Linked DNA regions of Diceros bicornis minor. The protein of the gene in region 1 purifies or fractionates together with the protein of each later gene. This does not show direct contact. Links are inferred from orthologs where the notes say so. Each region holds a gene or a part of one and is shown on either strand. Other genes may lie near its edges.

Region 1 (7,233 bases):
CCACCCTCACCCACAAAACCAGTGTTACCAGTTTATTGCTTATCTTTCCAGAATTATGCATTAAAAGCAAATATATTTATACATATTCTCCAGCCCACCTGGTGAAAATGTTTTTCTTTTACGTACTTCCCCCCAACTTTTTATTTTGAAAAGTTTCAAACCTGCAGAGAAGTTACAAGACAAGGATAATCTGTGCCCTTGCCCAGGTTCACCGGTTGTTAACATACACACGCATACACACATTGGGTTCTTTTTTGGCTGAACTATTTGCAAGTTGTGATCATCATGATACTTTGCCTCAAAAAACCCCAGCAGGTATCTCTTTTTCTTTGCTGAGGAAGACTGGCCCTGGGCTGACATCCGTGCCCATCTTCCTCTACTTTATATGGGACGCCGCCACAGCACGGCTTGACAAGCGGTGTGTAGGTCCTCGCCTGGGATCCGAACCTGCGAACCCCGGGCCGCCAAAGCAGAGCACGCAAACTTAACCAGTACGCCACCAGGCCAGCCCCAGGTATCTCTTAAGAACAGGGATGCCCGCCTACGTAGCTACAGTATAATTATCATAATCAGGCCATTTAACGGGATACAGCCCTATTATCTCATAGACAGTCTTTATTCCTGTTGTCCCGGTACTCTTAGCTATTTTCAATTTTTTAATCCAAGATCTAATCTGGGGTCACACTTTGCATTTAGTTGTCAGCACTCTGTAGTCTTTCCTTTAATCTAAAACAGTTTCCTGGCTGTTTTTTTCCCCCCTTTCATGACATACGACATTTTTGAAGATTCCAGACTGGTATTTTTACAGACCACTCTTTACTTTGGTTTGATTGTTTCCTAGTGACTAGAATCAGGGTAAACATTTTCCTTGACATCTTTTTTTTTTTTTTCATACAAAAGATAGCACTAAGTACACCGTTCTGCACCTTGCCTTCTCTACCTAACAATGGGTCTTTGAGAGCCCTCCATATCAGTGCATAGAGAGCTTCCTCATTCCTTTATACAGCTGCATAGTATTCCATGGAACGGAATTAATGTAATTGATTTAAACAGTCCCCCAGGGGAGGACATTTAGGTGGTTTCCAGTCTTTTGTGATTGCAAACAGTGCTGCCGGAAATAACCTTGTAAATGTACTTTTTCATTATGTGATAGTATATCTGTAGCATGAACCCCTAGGTGTGGAATTGCAGCCTCCCCACTTTTATGTTTCTAATTGAGGTGTAATTTACATATAGTGAAATGCACAGGTCTCAGGTGGACAGCTGGATATGCAGTACATTTCCATCACTCCAGAAAATTCCCTTGTGCCCCTTCCCGGTCAATCTCTCCCACCCCGCAAGCAGCCACTAGCCTGATTTCTAGCATCATAGATTAGTTTAGTCTATTCTAGAACTTTGTGTAAACGGCATCCTACAATATATACTCTTTTTATAATTGAGACGAAATTAACCATTTTAAAGTGTACTGTGCAGTGGCGTTTACCATACTTACAATGTTGTGCAGTCACCCACCTCCATCTAGTTCCAGAATATTTTCTTTCTTTTTTTTTTTGTTTCTTTTGGTGAAGAAGATTGGCCCTGAGCTAACATCTGTTGCCAGTCCTCCTCTTTTTGCTTGAGGAAGATTGTCCCCAAGCTAACATCTGTGCCTGTCTTCCTCTGTTTTGTATATGGGACGCCGCCACAGGATGGCTTGATGAGTGGTGTGTAAGTCTGCGCCTGGGATCCAAACCTTTGAACCCCGGGCCGCCGAAGCAGACCACGTGAACCCAACCGCTACGCCCCCAGGCAGGCCCCTCTAGAACATTTTCATGCCCCCAAAAGGAAACCCCATGCTCGTTAGCAGTCACTCCCCATCCCCCCAGGGTGTACTCATGTCTGGCTTGTGTTCGGTGTGTTTTGGAGATTCATCCATCCTGTGTGTATGTATATCAGTAGCTGCCTCTTTTTTTAATGCTGAGAGGTATTCCACTGTATCCCACCTCCACACGTTTGCAATAACACACCCCCAACAGTTCAGAATTTTTCTGTGCTGTATTTAAGGTCTAAGCTAAGCCACTGTAACAGAGAGACCCCAAAGCCCAGTGGCTCAGGCAAGATACAAGTTTATTTCTCCACATAGCCCTCCAAAGGTAGGTAGTTCATTTCTCCACATAAACCTCCAAAAGGTTGTTGAGGGGCCCGGGTTCCTTCCATCTTGTAGCTCTGCATTCTCTGGAATGTTATCCTTTTCCCTGTGGTCACGGTTGGTTCACCACCACCACATCCATGCTCCAGCCATCGGGAAGGGGGAAGGTGCTGGAGGGCAAGCTTCCTTCTAAGGCTGTCCCCGATGTTGCACGCCTTGAAGTCGTTCCCGTTCCGTGAGAGAGAACTCGGTCACGTGACCACCCCAGCAGTGCACACCGTGAAACGTAGTCTCGAGCTGGGCAGCCTGTGGCAGCCCCAAGGCAAGGGGTCGGTGTTGAAAAGGATGAAGGGGGGAGACTGGATCTGGGGGCATAGTTGTGGGATCCAGAGGTGTTCCCTTGAACCTGGGCAGCTGACCTATCCACTCCCCTCCCCTCCCCACCAGCTGGGTCTGGGGTCTGCTCTAGGCTCCCATAATCCCCTCTGTCTCAGCCTGGACACTGAGAGATGTGTGCTTTTCTAACAATTCATTTTCTTTTTTAATAATTTCAAACATGGGAAGGTTGAAAGAATAATACCAAGAACACCTGTGTACCCTTCACCCAGATTCACCTGTTTTCACAGTTTTCCTTATTTACTTTGTGATTTGCACACACACATGCTTTCTTTTTCTCCTCTCTATGTACATATGCACACTGTAAAACAACTTTTCCGAACAGCTTGCATAGATCATGGCCATTTACCCCTAAATACTTAAGTGTGCATTTCCTTAGAATATTCTCTTTCTGAGCCGCAGAAAGTTACCAACTTGAATAGGCTTAACCTAAATACAGTCTTTTGTCTAATCTACTAGAGGACATGTACTTGTATATCAATATATCCTGTCAAAATATACCCCTCAGATAGGGGCCGGCCTGGTGGCGTAGTGGTTAAGTGCGCGTGCTCCCCTTCGGCAGTCCGGGGTTTGCGGGTTCGGATCCCAGGCGTGGACCTATGCACCGCTCATCAAGCCATGCTGTGGCAGCGTCCCATATAAAGTGGAGGAAGATGGGCATGGATGTCAGCCTAGGGCCAATCTTCCTCAGCAAAAAGAGGGGGATTGGCAGATGTTAGCCCAGGGCTGATCTTCCTCACCAAAAAAAAAAAAAAAAAAAAAAAAAACGAAAAAGAATACATGTAAACACATCTAAACAGCAGTCTCTATTTGGTTTGCTGTTGTGTTTCCTACTTTGGATTGTGGATTGAGGGCGGGGGCTGCTCTCAAGGGCATTTTGGGGATTATTGGAGAAATTGGAAAAAGGACTCTTTATTTTGTATTATTATTGAGTCAGTGTTAAATGTCCTGGATTTGATCATTGCACCATGCTTATTTAAGAGAATGTCCTTAAATAGGAAAATAGATAGTAATCTGAATTGTGCATATTGTATATGGGGGTGGGGAGAGGGAGTGGGAAGCAGATGTGGCCCCATATTGACACTCGGGGACTCTGGGTGAAGGCTACACAGGAGTTCTATGAGTTTGAAATTATTTCAGAATAAAAAGGGAGGGCTCTTGTGTTTGTTTTGTTTTTGAGTGCAGTGTTTTGAGCTGGGAAGGGACCTGATCAGATCCGTCTTTCAGGCCACTCCCTGGCCCCCAACACAGTGACTGGCCTGAAGGGGGCGCTGCCCAGCTGTTTGTCGAGGGAAGGCCCGGGCAGATGTGGTGATGGGCGGGCGAGGGCCTTGAGGACAGAGGTTTATGGGAAAGAAAGGGAAGTGCTAAGGAACGATGATGTGATGTGATGGGCAGAGAGGGGAGAGGGCGAGGAGAGCCAGTGACGAGGGGTCTGCAAGGGGCAAGTACCCAGGGACAGAAGGACGTGGAGGGCCTGAGCGTGTGAGGAGAGGGTTAGGCTGAGCTGGGGGGTGGGCTGGAGTTACATCAGCTGATGATCACTGGGCGTCTGGAGCGTTCCAGCACCCTGTGAGCCTGCGGGTGGAGAGCCGTGTTACCCTTCAGGCGCTCCAGAGAATCAAAAGGCTCACAGTCATGGTGGGTGCACGGGAGGCCACGGAGAAGGCGGGAACCCTCACCCAGCCCCGAATTGCCTGGCAGGATGGATGGCAAGCGGCGGTCAGGCCCGGGGCCCGGGGTGCCCCCGAAGCGGGCCCGGGGGGGCCTCTGGGATGAGGATGAGGCGTCTGGGCCGTCCCAGTTCGAGGAGGATCTGGCGCTGATGGAGGAGCTGGAGGCAGAGCACCGGCTGCAGGAACAGGAGGAGGAGGAGCTACTGTCGGCCGTGGACGGGGCTGCGGACGGTGAGGCCTGGAGCGGGAGCCCCCTGCGCCCCCTCCCATCTTGCCTCTGATCTGAGGCAGCCACAGAGCTGACCTGTAACCTCTGGCCCACTTTGAGCCCCACATAGGGCTGACCTTTGACCCCATGCCAGTATACCACTTCCTGCCTGCAGTTTCTATTCTGACCTTGATCCTACAGTCTCTCCCGAGATTCCTGCCTGATCCAGACCACCACCTCCCCTGACTCTCCTTTCACAAATCGGATGCCACCTGAGGGGTCACGGGCTGGGCTGGGAGGGCAGTTACTTATCCTGAGGGAGAACCCCGACTCATGTAGCCCTGCTTCCCTCCCCACACGCAGGGCAGTTCTCCCAGACAGCCATAGATCCCCGCTGGCTTCGGCCCTCCCCGCCCCCCCTAGACCCCCAGACGGAGCCCCTCATCTTCCAGCAGTTGGAGATCGACCATTACGTAGGTGAGTTTGGGGGACAGAAGCCTGGCGGGTGGGTGGAGGGGCCCTGGGCTCCTGCGGGGGAGGCCTGGCCGCGTCAGCCCCGCTGGCTCTGTGGGAGGAGATGGACACAGGCAGTCCCTGCCCTGGTGACCGGGGCTGTGAGAGGGAGGGACAGGCCTGGGGGTGCCCAGAGGGGGCAGCGAGGAGTCTGGTGGGGGGTCGAGAGGGGCACGGGTATCCAGAAGGGCTTCCTGGAGGAGGGGAGCATCTTCCAGCTGAGGCCTGGAGGTAAAAAGAACTGACTCCTTGCAGAGGGGAGAGACGTGTGTGACATCCATCCATCCATCCACTTATCTAGTCAGTCAGGAACAGCTGAGCGTCTCTACCGAGCCAGGCCCTGTTCCTGGCAGACCAGGTCCCTGCTCTCAGAGGCTCACGTTCTGGAAGGAGGGGCAAAATAAAAAGGGAAATGGGACAGCAGGTAGCCGTGAGGGTTATAGAAGAACAAAGCGGGGAGTAGGATGCGGGGCGTGCTGGACCACGCTTCTTGAAGGTCCAGGAAGGCCTCTCTGCGGAGGCGACAAGGAGCAGAGGGGATGTCTGGGAAAGAGGGGTTCTGGGTGGAGGGTCCCGGGCAGGAGCAGGTCTGGTGTGTTTAAGGAGCAGCGAGGAGACCAGTGTGGGGGAGCGAGGGGCAGAGATGAAGGCAAGGGGGCACAGGAGAGCCTGTCGCCCGCGAGGACTTCAGGGCTCCGTTCTGAGCGCACTGGGGAGTCTCTCGCAATGCAGAGGCCCGCTCCCCCTTGCCTATTAGAGGCCTCCCTGTGATAGAATGAAAAGAAACTACAGGCGGGGAGGACGCATTCATCACCCACACGCCTGACAGAGGACCGTGCCGCACATATATAGAGAACACTCAGGTCTCCACAGTAAGAGAACAATCCAGTTCAAAAGTGGACACAAAACTTGAACAGACAACTCACTGGAGGAGAAGGATGGCCGAGGAGCATGTGGGATGATGCTCTGTGTCCCTAGCTCCTGGGGAAATGCACGTGACAGCTGCAGGGAGACACAGCACGCCCCTCTCAGAAGGACGGAAGTGAAATATGCTGGCACCACCAGGTGCTGGCGGTACGCGGCAGGGCGCGGCCACTCGGGGAAACAGCCTGGCCGTTTCTTACCGAGTTTAAGCTACTCTCTTTTTGTCCATTGGGACTCTAGTGGGTTTTTTCCAGCTTTATTGAGATAAAAGAGTTAAACCTACTCTTGGGGCTGGCCCTGTGGCCTAGTGGTTAAGTTTGGCACCTTCTGCTTTGGCGGCCTGAGTTTGGTTCCCAGGCGCAGACCTACACCACTCATTGACTGCCATACTGTGGTGGTGACCCTCATACAAAATAGAGGAAGACTGGCACAGATGTTAGTTCAGGGCCAATCTTCCTCAGCAAAAAAAAAAAGAAAGAAAGAAAAAGAAAAGAAGAGTTAAACCTACTCTTACCATAGGACCCAGCAATTCCACCCCTAGATATTTACCCCAGAGAAACAGCAACCTCGCTTCAAACAAAAACCTGTACCCGGATGTTAATAGCATCTCTTCTCATAACCGCCCCAAACTGGAAACAACCCACATATCCTGCTACCGGGGGAGCGGATAAGCAAACTCTGGTCCATCCACACCGCGCAGTGCTTCTCCACAATAAGGAGGAAGGAGCTGTTGACGCGTGAGGAGGATGAATGTCAGGGGTGTCGTGCTGAGTGCGAGGCAGACCCAGCGGTGACGGGCTGTACAACTCCATTCACAGGGACGGTCTCGAAAAGACGCAGTTAGACGGGGAACAGACCGTCAGTGCCGGGGTGGGGTGGGAGGGGGGCGTGGTTGCAGAGGGGCAGCTCGAGGGAGCTGTCCGGAGTGGCGGAAGCGTCTAGTACCCCGATTTTGGTGGTGGTTACGTGAATGTGTATGTGCGTTCAAGCTCGTAACACTATACAAAGTCGATTTTACTTTTTAAAAGAAAATCTTTGCATTTGCAGAAAAGGGTGGGGGTCTCCGTCTGGCTGCGCCGTGGAAAGTGGACGTTAGGGGGACAAGGGTGGAAACGGAGCCCGGGGCAGGCGGGGCTCGCCTCCACGCCAGGGCTGAAATCAGGCGGCGTGCACAGCGCGGAAGGGCCCCGAGCTGCAGGAACGGGGCTGCGTTCCCGGCACGGGAGGGCCCCGGGGAGGCGAACCTTTGAGGAGTCTGAGAGGGCAGCCCCTGCCTTACCCTGTGACGCCCCCAGGCCCAGCACAGCCCCTGCCTTGGGCGCCGTTGCCACCTCTCGGCTCCGTGCCTGTGCTCCGCGCCTTCGGGGTCACCGACGAGGGCGTCTCCA
Region 2 (7,715 bases), on another chromosome or scaffold:
AGCATTAGGGAAGGGCTGTTACAAGAAATAACGTGTGAAATTGGAGCTGAAACCTAAAGGATGAGGACAGCTGGGAGAAGAGCATTCCAGCCAGAGGGAATGGTGCAAATGTCCCAGGGTGAGAACGGGCTTGGGATATATGAGGAACAGAAAGGCAAATACGGTTAGAGTATAAGTGAGGTAGAGAGTGGCATGGGATGAAGTTGGTAGATAGGCAGGGCCTAAACAGTATGTTAATTCTATAAAAATTACAAGTAATAAGAGTAGCTACAGTAAAATTGCAGGCAAATTTATTTCATCTCCAGTCCTCAACATGCACCTTTAAACCCCAACAGGCTTATCTAATAGTTACCTTATTTTATATTTAAACGTTCATAACCGCAACAAATTATTACTCTTACAGGTGTCCATTCTCAAAATTACCTGAACCTCTTGGGTTTGGGCCAGGACCGGTCTTAGCAACAGCAATCTCAGTCAAAATCAGTCCAAACCCATTCCTGGGCCAAGAGTTTCAGGTCTTGAAGGCATAAACATCACAGTCAAAATCAGATTCCTAAATCTGTCAAACAGCAAACCAAATAAAGCCAAATCTACCCATTTTAGAGATCCGGGATTTTCTAAGACTCATGGAATGTTCCTATGACTCAAGGAATAGGGAAAATCAGACTACCTTCAGGAATAAAACAAACTAAATGAGTATTTCACGCAATATATGTGCCCTCAGCCTGTTCACCAATTCCTCCTCTTGGGACATAAACAACATCTGCATATTTGCAGGTCAAGAAATTTTTGAAGTTAATTCCAAAGTTTGTTTCTCCCTTTTGGCCTCAAGTTGGACTATAAGTTTCAGCAAGGAAAAGTGATATGGCAAATTCAAGAAAGGTAATGCTCTATGCCATCCTAAACACTCGCTTTTCAGTTTCACTATTTAAGTGAAGTTAAAAAAACTATTTAAGTTCTCCCGTCTCATACTATTATACAGCTTGTGTAAAACACCTGTTGACCTCATTATGGAAGTATGTCAATAACACCCAGAGATGGGCCTAAGGAGCACGTGTGAAAACATAATGAAGATGTGAGATAACAGGCATATAAATCTGAGGTATAAACAGAACTGGCTAGTCTGTTTAATAAATTTGATATAACAAAGTGATATTAACCAGAGGGCAAGGTTACAAATAAACCCAGTAAATGTATCACCACACATTTGAGTAGAAGTCCACTTATCTCCAAAATAATAAAAGTAGTAAAAGGTAGTAAAAATAGCATGCTTTCCCATTTTTCCAGAAAAAAAAAAATAATTCTAACCTAGAGGTCATCTGTAAAGCTAAAAAACAAAGCAAAACGAAAAACTCCAATGCGATTAAAATTAGTAATAAATTGGACTTACTGTTTGGCCTGGTTGACGTGAACCCCTAGTGTATAGCTCAGCCATTTGTACGTCACCTGCAAGAAGAAATTTTTTAAACGTTTTATCAGATGACTCCAGAGTGCAGGTCAGTCCCAGGGGGTCCTAAAAGGTCCTACTCTTAGATGATTACACTTTATAAATTACAATAGATGCCACCCCAGTTTGCCAAGAATGATCCATCTGGGCAGGCAGGATGGAGAGATTTCTCTTACAAATACTAAGAAGTTTGTTTCACAGACCAATTAATGCAAAAGAGTCTAAAAAGAAAGGTTGAATATACATAGAAAGAAAAGGGCTCTCATTTTTCTCACACTCCTTGTTTTACTAAGGCTCTTTTTTTCACATTCTGTCCCTTTTTGGGGCCACCACCAAAAATTATCTTCAAATTCACCCAGAAGCTAGATTTCTTTGAAGTGTATGACTTGGAAACTTCTAAGGAAAGTTGCAGCCATACAAACAAACATTAAAGGGCACCAGTGGTGCAGGGGCCAGAGAATGAATGAAGTGGATGAATACTGCATCAGAGGGTAGACTGGGAACTAAATGCATCAAGCCTTGATCTTCCTTCCATCCTTCCTTGAACTCTCCTGTCACTTGTCGCCTCCTTGCATGCCTATCACTCTCCTCTCAAAGTCTTCCAATTCTAAATGCTGTTTCCAATAATTAGAAGACTTACATAGGTTAGGCAAAGGCAGTATGATGTAGAAGAAAGCATTAGCAAGAGACAGACCTAGGTTGGAAAAATGCCTATCCCCTACTAATTCGTATAAATCCTTACTTTATTTGTATAAAGAAATTATTTGGCCCCTCTGCTTCAACTTCCTTTTCTAACTCTCGGTAGGTCACCGTAAAGATTAAATGCAATAATGTGGATCCAAAGTTCACAGCAGGCACTCAATTACCCACGGTTTGCAAAGCGCATTCACATCCATCATCTCACTTGAGCTTTACTCCAACCTGTGAGGCAGGTCAAGCCTGTGTCCATACCAAATTTACAGGAAGAGGAAACCGACTGTCAGAAAATTCAACAACTTGTCACTTAACCCAGTTAAGACATAATTTCCTCAACTGTAAACTTGGGACTTAAACGCCAACCACCTTATCAGACAGGTGTAGGGACACCCTAGAAATATTATCAACCAACGCCCCGCCCTCCGCGCCTGACCTCCACGGCCCCTGGGGCGTGGGCACGCCCACTCGAGGGACGCGGAGTTGCGCGCGCGCCAGAGGGCCTCTTCCGCGAGTCCTCGCTGGCCCTGAGGCACGAGGCGTGGACCCCCCTCTCCCTTCGCCGGTCCCCACGAGGACACACGCCGAGGGGTCAAGACCCCCGCCGCCCTCGCTGGGCCCAGGACCCCCGTCGCACGCCCGCCTTCCCCAGTCCTAGCTCCTCACGATCTTGTTCTGGTCCGTGACGAACTCGTCTATATTTTCCAGATAAAGCTGGTCCGCCATGGTGCTGCGACGCCGGTCCCCGCCGCCTCAGAGCTCCCCTTGCCGCCACAAGCGCAGCTCCCGCCGGCGGGAAACGTCTTTTCTCCCACCCAGGTCCCGGGTCGTTTCCCACGGCAACGGAGGCGACGCGCTACGGCGGCCGTCCGAGGGTCAAACTAGTCTCCGAGATGGCGCAGGCTGAAGTGGGCGGAGCTTGTAGGAGCGGGCGGAAGTGAGGAGCTGGGAGAGCGGGCGTGGACTAGACGGGCTGTCTGGGAATCTCTGGTTTCAAATCTCAGCTCTGCTAGTTAATGACTGACCCAGGGTAAAATACCTCACCTCGAGGAGCCACAGTCTCTCCACATGAAAGTTGATGAAATAATCCTTGCTCTTGCATCCCTTTATTCAACAAATATTTATCAAGTACCTATTCTATTTGAGGCACTTCTTTAGCACTGGGGACCCAGCAGTGAACAATAGAGACGGAAATAAACAAGTAGTATTAGTAAAGTAATGCCAGCAGGGATAAGGTGCTGCTTGTTATAAATCCCTCAGAATCGAACATTCGGGAAGGTTTTCCAGAGGGGATGGGAGAAGCAGAGTGTTTCAGATACAGGCAGGAGCGTTGCTGGTAAGAGAAAAAGGTTCACCATAGCTGGAATGTTGGGAGAAGAGGAGAAAGAGGAGGAATGAGACTTGGGAGAAGCCAAATCATGCTGCGCCTACAAGGCTCTGTGAAGGGGCACATGGACTTTATTCTCGGGAAAAGTTTTCAGGTTGGGGAATTGCAACTAAAATTTCTCCTAACATCCACTAAAAAACAACCTTTATCATTGACTTCAGCATCAGCCAATGTAGTTCAATGCAGCAGCATTATGGATAATCCAGCAGTTATCTAGAGTTAGAGCCTGGATTTGAATCCTGGTTTTGATATTTGTTGTATGACCTTAAGTGAGTTATTTAACCACTGCAAGTCTGTTTCTCCATCTATAAGATGAAAGTAATAATAGTACCCACTTCGAACGTTTGTTGCTACATGCATTCATTCAAGACATACTTAGCAAAAGCCTACTAAGGGCCAGGCACTGTTCTGGGTGCTGGGGTGCTGGGGATACAGCTATGATCAATAATACACAGAACCTGTTCACATATAGCTTACAGCCTTGTGAAGAGATTTAAGTGACGGATGGTAGTGGCTTAAAGTAGGATAGTAGTAGTGGAAATTGAGAGACCTGAGTGACTTGGGTCTTCTTTTTAGAGTCAGCAAAACCTGCTGATGAAGTAGATGAGAGGAGTGTGGGAAAGACAGGAATCAAGGAAAATGCCTAGATTTGGAACCTAAATTGTTAGGTAAATGGTAAAGCATTTGACTACTGAGATGTAGAAGACTGAGAGAAAGAGAAGATGAGGAAATCAAAGAATTCTATTTGGCCAGAGTTATAAACAAGATAATATACATAAACCCCTCACACTATGTCTGCACACAATAAAATCAATAACATTTGGCTATTACAGTACTATATACCAGGCACACTGTACCAGGTGCATTGAGAGTGAGATTTCATTTAATCCTGATAGCAACCCTGCAAATGCCTTGTGTTTGTCCAGATTTTATAGACTAAATTGCCTAGGCTTAAGAGAGGAGACATGGCTGGGTCTGGCTCCCTGGCCTGGTGGTTAAGTTCAGCACACTCCACTTTGGTGGCCCAGGTTCACAGGTTTGGATCCTGGGTGTGGACCTACACCACTCGTCAGCCATGCTGTGGCAATGTCCCACATACAGAATAGAGGAAAATTGACACAGATCTTAGCTCAGGGAGAATCTTTCTCAACAAAAAAAAAAAAGAGAGAGGAGACATGGATTTTCTAGGTCACAGGGTTAAGTGGTAGCATTGGGATTGGAACTCAAGTTTCTTGTCATTGCTACACAGGAGTGGGAAATAAGTCAAGATAATTCACCAGAGAGGAGTCTGAATACTAACCCTATGCCAAAGGGAGAGATGATAATGCTGGCCCACCGTGGTCCTAGATATACCAATATTAAGAGAGTTGCATGACTTTTAGAAGCCAGATTAGTGGTTACCCTTTGGAGAGTAGGAAGTGGAAGGCTTCGGAGAAAAGGGTGATGTTCTGGTTCTGGATCTCGGCACTGGTCTCATGGGTAGGTTGAGTTTGTGAAAATGATTTGAATTGTACACTTCTGATATGTATAGTTTTCTGTATGTATGTTCACGCCAATAAAGAGTTTAAGAAAAGTGATTATTTGAAGAGTCTTAAATACTGTCCCAAGTCTTGTCAAACCAGGAAAATAGAAAACAGGTACAGGTATTGGAAAGAATGGATTTAGTCTTAACCTTAGACAAAAGAAGAGAGATTCTGGGAAGAAGGGATAATGGGTAAAAATGGACCCCAAGCAAGATAGTAATGGGATTATCAAATAAGATAAATGACCAAAGGCATCTCCAAATCTGAGGTGGAGTAATGGTACTAGAAAAGAATGACCACGGCCCAGGAGTGGGTAGGCTGGGAGTTGGGCTTGTACCTTAAGGGTAAGGTTGCCGGAGGGGGAAGGGAAGGGTTAGCTTTTCTGTTTGTGGCCGAGGCCTACCCAGCCTGAACATTCCCACCTCAGGGGAGCATAGCTGAATAGAAAGCATGTGGGCTTTGGAAATAAAATTTTTCTTTTAAAAAGCAAGCAAGCAAACAAACAAAAACCTGGGCTTGAATCCCAGCTCTACCACTTCCTAGCTGTGTGGCCTTAGGCAAATCATTTAACCTCTCTAGTCCTCAGTTTCATCTTTAAAGAAGGGATAATAATATGCAGTGGTATACTGATAAATGTTTAACAACCAATTTACTGAATAAAAAAGCCCTCATTTGTAGTGGTTGCCAACTTCTGTGGTGTAAATATTCCCACCATAGCAGACTTCAAGCTACCAATATTGATGTCACGGATTGCAGAGTTAGGAAAAGGTACACAATATCACACCATTATTTCCACCACTCAAGTACAATAAACAAATAACCTCAAGAGCATAAATAGTAGTAAAATGCAGTAAAATAATTAGGAAGTGATGAGATTCGAATCTTTATTGTCTTTGTTTTTAATATAATTTGTTTAATTATAAATTTATATAATTTAATTTTTAGTAATTGCCTTGTTTAACAACTGACTTGCAAACTTTCTGAAACTTCAACATTTGGCTCTCCTAAGCAAACACAGACCAGCTCTAGAACACCAGTATAAATAATTTACCTTTTGTGATTAAGGGGATTGAAAGTAACATGTTCTGTGGCTGGTAGATAGCTAAGCTTTTTATAAATGATAACTAGTATTTTATAACAAACACTTATATACCACTAACTATATGCCAGGCTCTGTTCCAAGTGCTTTACAAATATTAACCCATGTAATGTCCATAAGAACCCTAGAAAGTAAGGTGCGTTATTATCCCATTTTTCCACATAAGTAAACATTGGCACAGAGAGGTTAAGTAACTTGCCCAAGATCACAGAGTAAGGGGCAGAGCTAAAACTAAAACCCAGGCAGTCTGGCTCCAGCATCTATGATCGTAAACACTGTGTTTTGCTGTCTCGTTATTAGTTTACACCTGCATATAGGAAAACCAATAATAAATACAGTGAACTCAAACACATTTATTGCAGAACTTTGGAGGAATCCCTGTGCACATCAAAATGAGAATTGCGGAAGCCAAGAAACAAATGGTATATGTTGATTATCTACAGGTTGTGGGAACATAGAATCCAGGCAAACAAGTTAACCTGGGAAGTTTTCAAGGCAGTTGTTGGAAGGGCAGTTGTTGGAAGGGCAGGGGACAGAAAGTTAGATTAGGTTTAGAGAGTTGGAACTATAGCTAGCAAAAGCCAGTAAACAAGAATAGGACTATGTCCAGGAAATTAGTGTTTTTTCTAGATGATGCCTGAAAGCTTAGTTCTAGGGTCAAAAGTAAACCACAGGGGCCAGCCTGATGGCATAGTGGTTGAGTTCGCACGCTCAGCTTTGGTGGCCCAGAGTTCTCGGGTTTGGATCCCGGGCACAGACCTACGCACTGCTTATCAAGCCATGCTGTGGCAGCATCCCACATATAAAGTAGAGAAAGATGGGCACGGATGTTAGCCCAGGGCCAATCTTTCTCAGCAAAAAGAGGATTGGCAACAGATGTTAGCTCAGGGGTAATCTTCTTCACCAAAAAAAAACAAAAAACTAAACCAGAAAAGAGGACCTCTCTGTACTTTCACTTCCATAAATCATAGGTGTGAAAGTCTTTCAGCTCGTGTGCATTGCTGGGATAATAACTATTGTCTATTGAGCACCTACCATGTGTGGGTACCTTTCGTAGAATGACTCATTTCATCCTCAAATAACCCTGCTATTCTATTCTATTCTATTACTCCTTCACCAAAAAGGACTCAAATTTGAAATCAATTTTATGTTATCAATAGGAAGAGTGAATAGGAAATGATTCGATATAGGTTCCAAGACAAGCTTTGCTTAAACTAATAACTAAGTAGGATTTTAGAACTGGCCTCCTTCTAACATAACAACAACCACATCAGCATCTAATAGGTTCTTAGTAAATGTTTATTGACTTAACTTCAATTACACTGAAGGCAAGATTTAAGGGGGAAAAACACTGGATTAAGAAACAAGGTGACCTGAGATAGTGTTCACTTTTTCTTATCATTCATTGAGTATGTAAAGTATATAAGCACCATACTAGACCCTTTACTTGAATATTCTCATTTAATCCTCAAAACAATTCTGTAAAATAAGTAAATATTATTATTTACCTACTGTTATCCCTGTTTTGCAGATGAAGAAGCTGGAGCTCGGAGAGGTTAAGTAACT

What was found. Proteins that work in one complex are often made in the same cells at the same time.
Region 2: the proteins of POLD1 (region 1) and POLD3 purify together in Homo sapiens (co-immunoprecipitation; 8 studies listed by BioGRID and IntAct, with this or other methods). This does not show direct contact. The link is inferred for Diceros bicornis minor from reciprocal best matches to the Homo sapiens genes POLD1 and POLD3.

What each region holds. Positions count from the first base shown.
Region 1 is NC_080773.1:25,594,026-25,601,258, forward strand, and holds the start of POLD1 (DNA polymerase delta catalytic subunit), read left to right. Parts: upstream 1-4,228; 5' UTR 4,229-4,229; coding exon 4,230-4,431; intron 4,432-4,771; coding exon 4,772-4,885; intron 4,886-7,140; coding exon 7,141-7,233. UniProt on the Homo sapiens protein: As the catalytic component of the trimeric (Pol-delta3 complex) and tetrameric DNA polymerase delta complexes (Pol-delta4 complex), plays a crucial role in high fidelity genome replication, including in lagging strand synthesis, and repair.
Region 2 is NC_080746.1:56,440,901-56,448,615, forward strand, and holds the start of POLD3 (DNA polymerase delta subunit 3), read right to left. Parts: upstream 3,014-7,715; 5' UTR 2,867-3,013; coding exon 2,807-2,866; intron 1,447-2,806; coding exon 1,391-1,446; intron 1-1,390. UniProt on the Homo sapiens protein: Accessory component of both the DNA polymerase delta complex and the DNA polymerase zeta complex.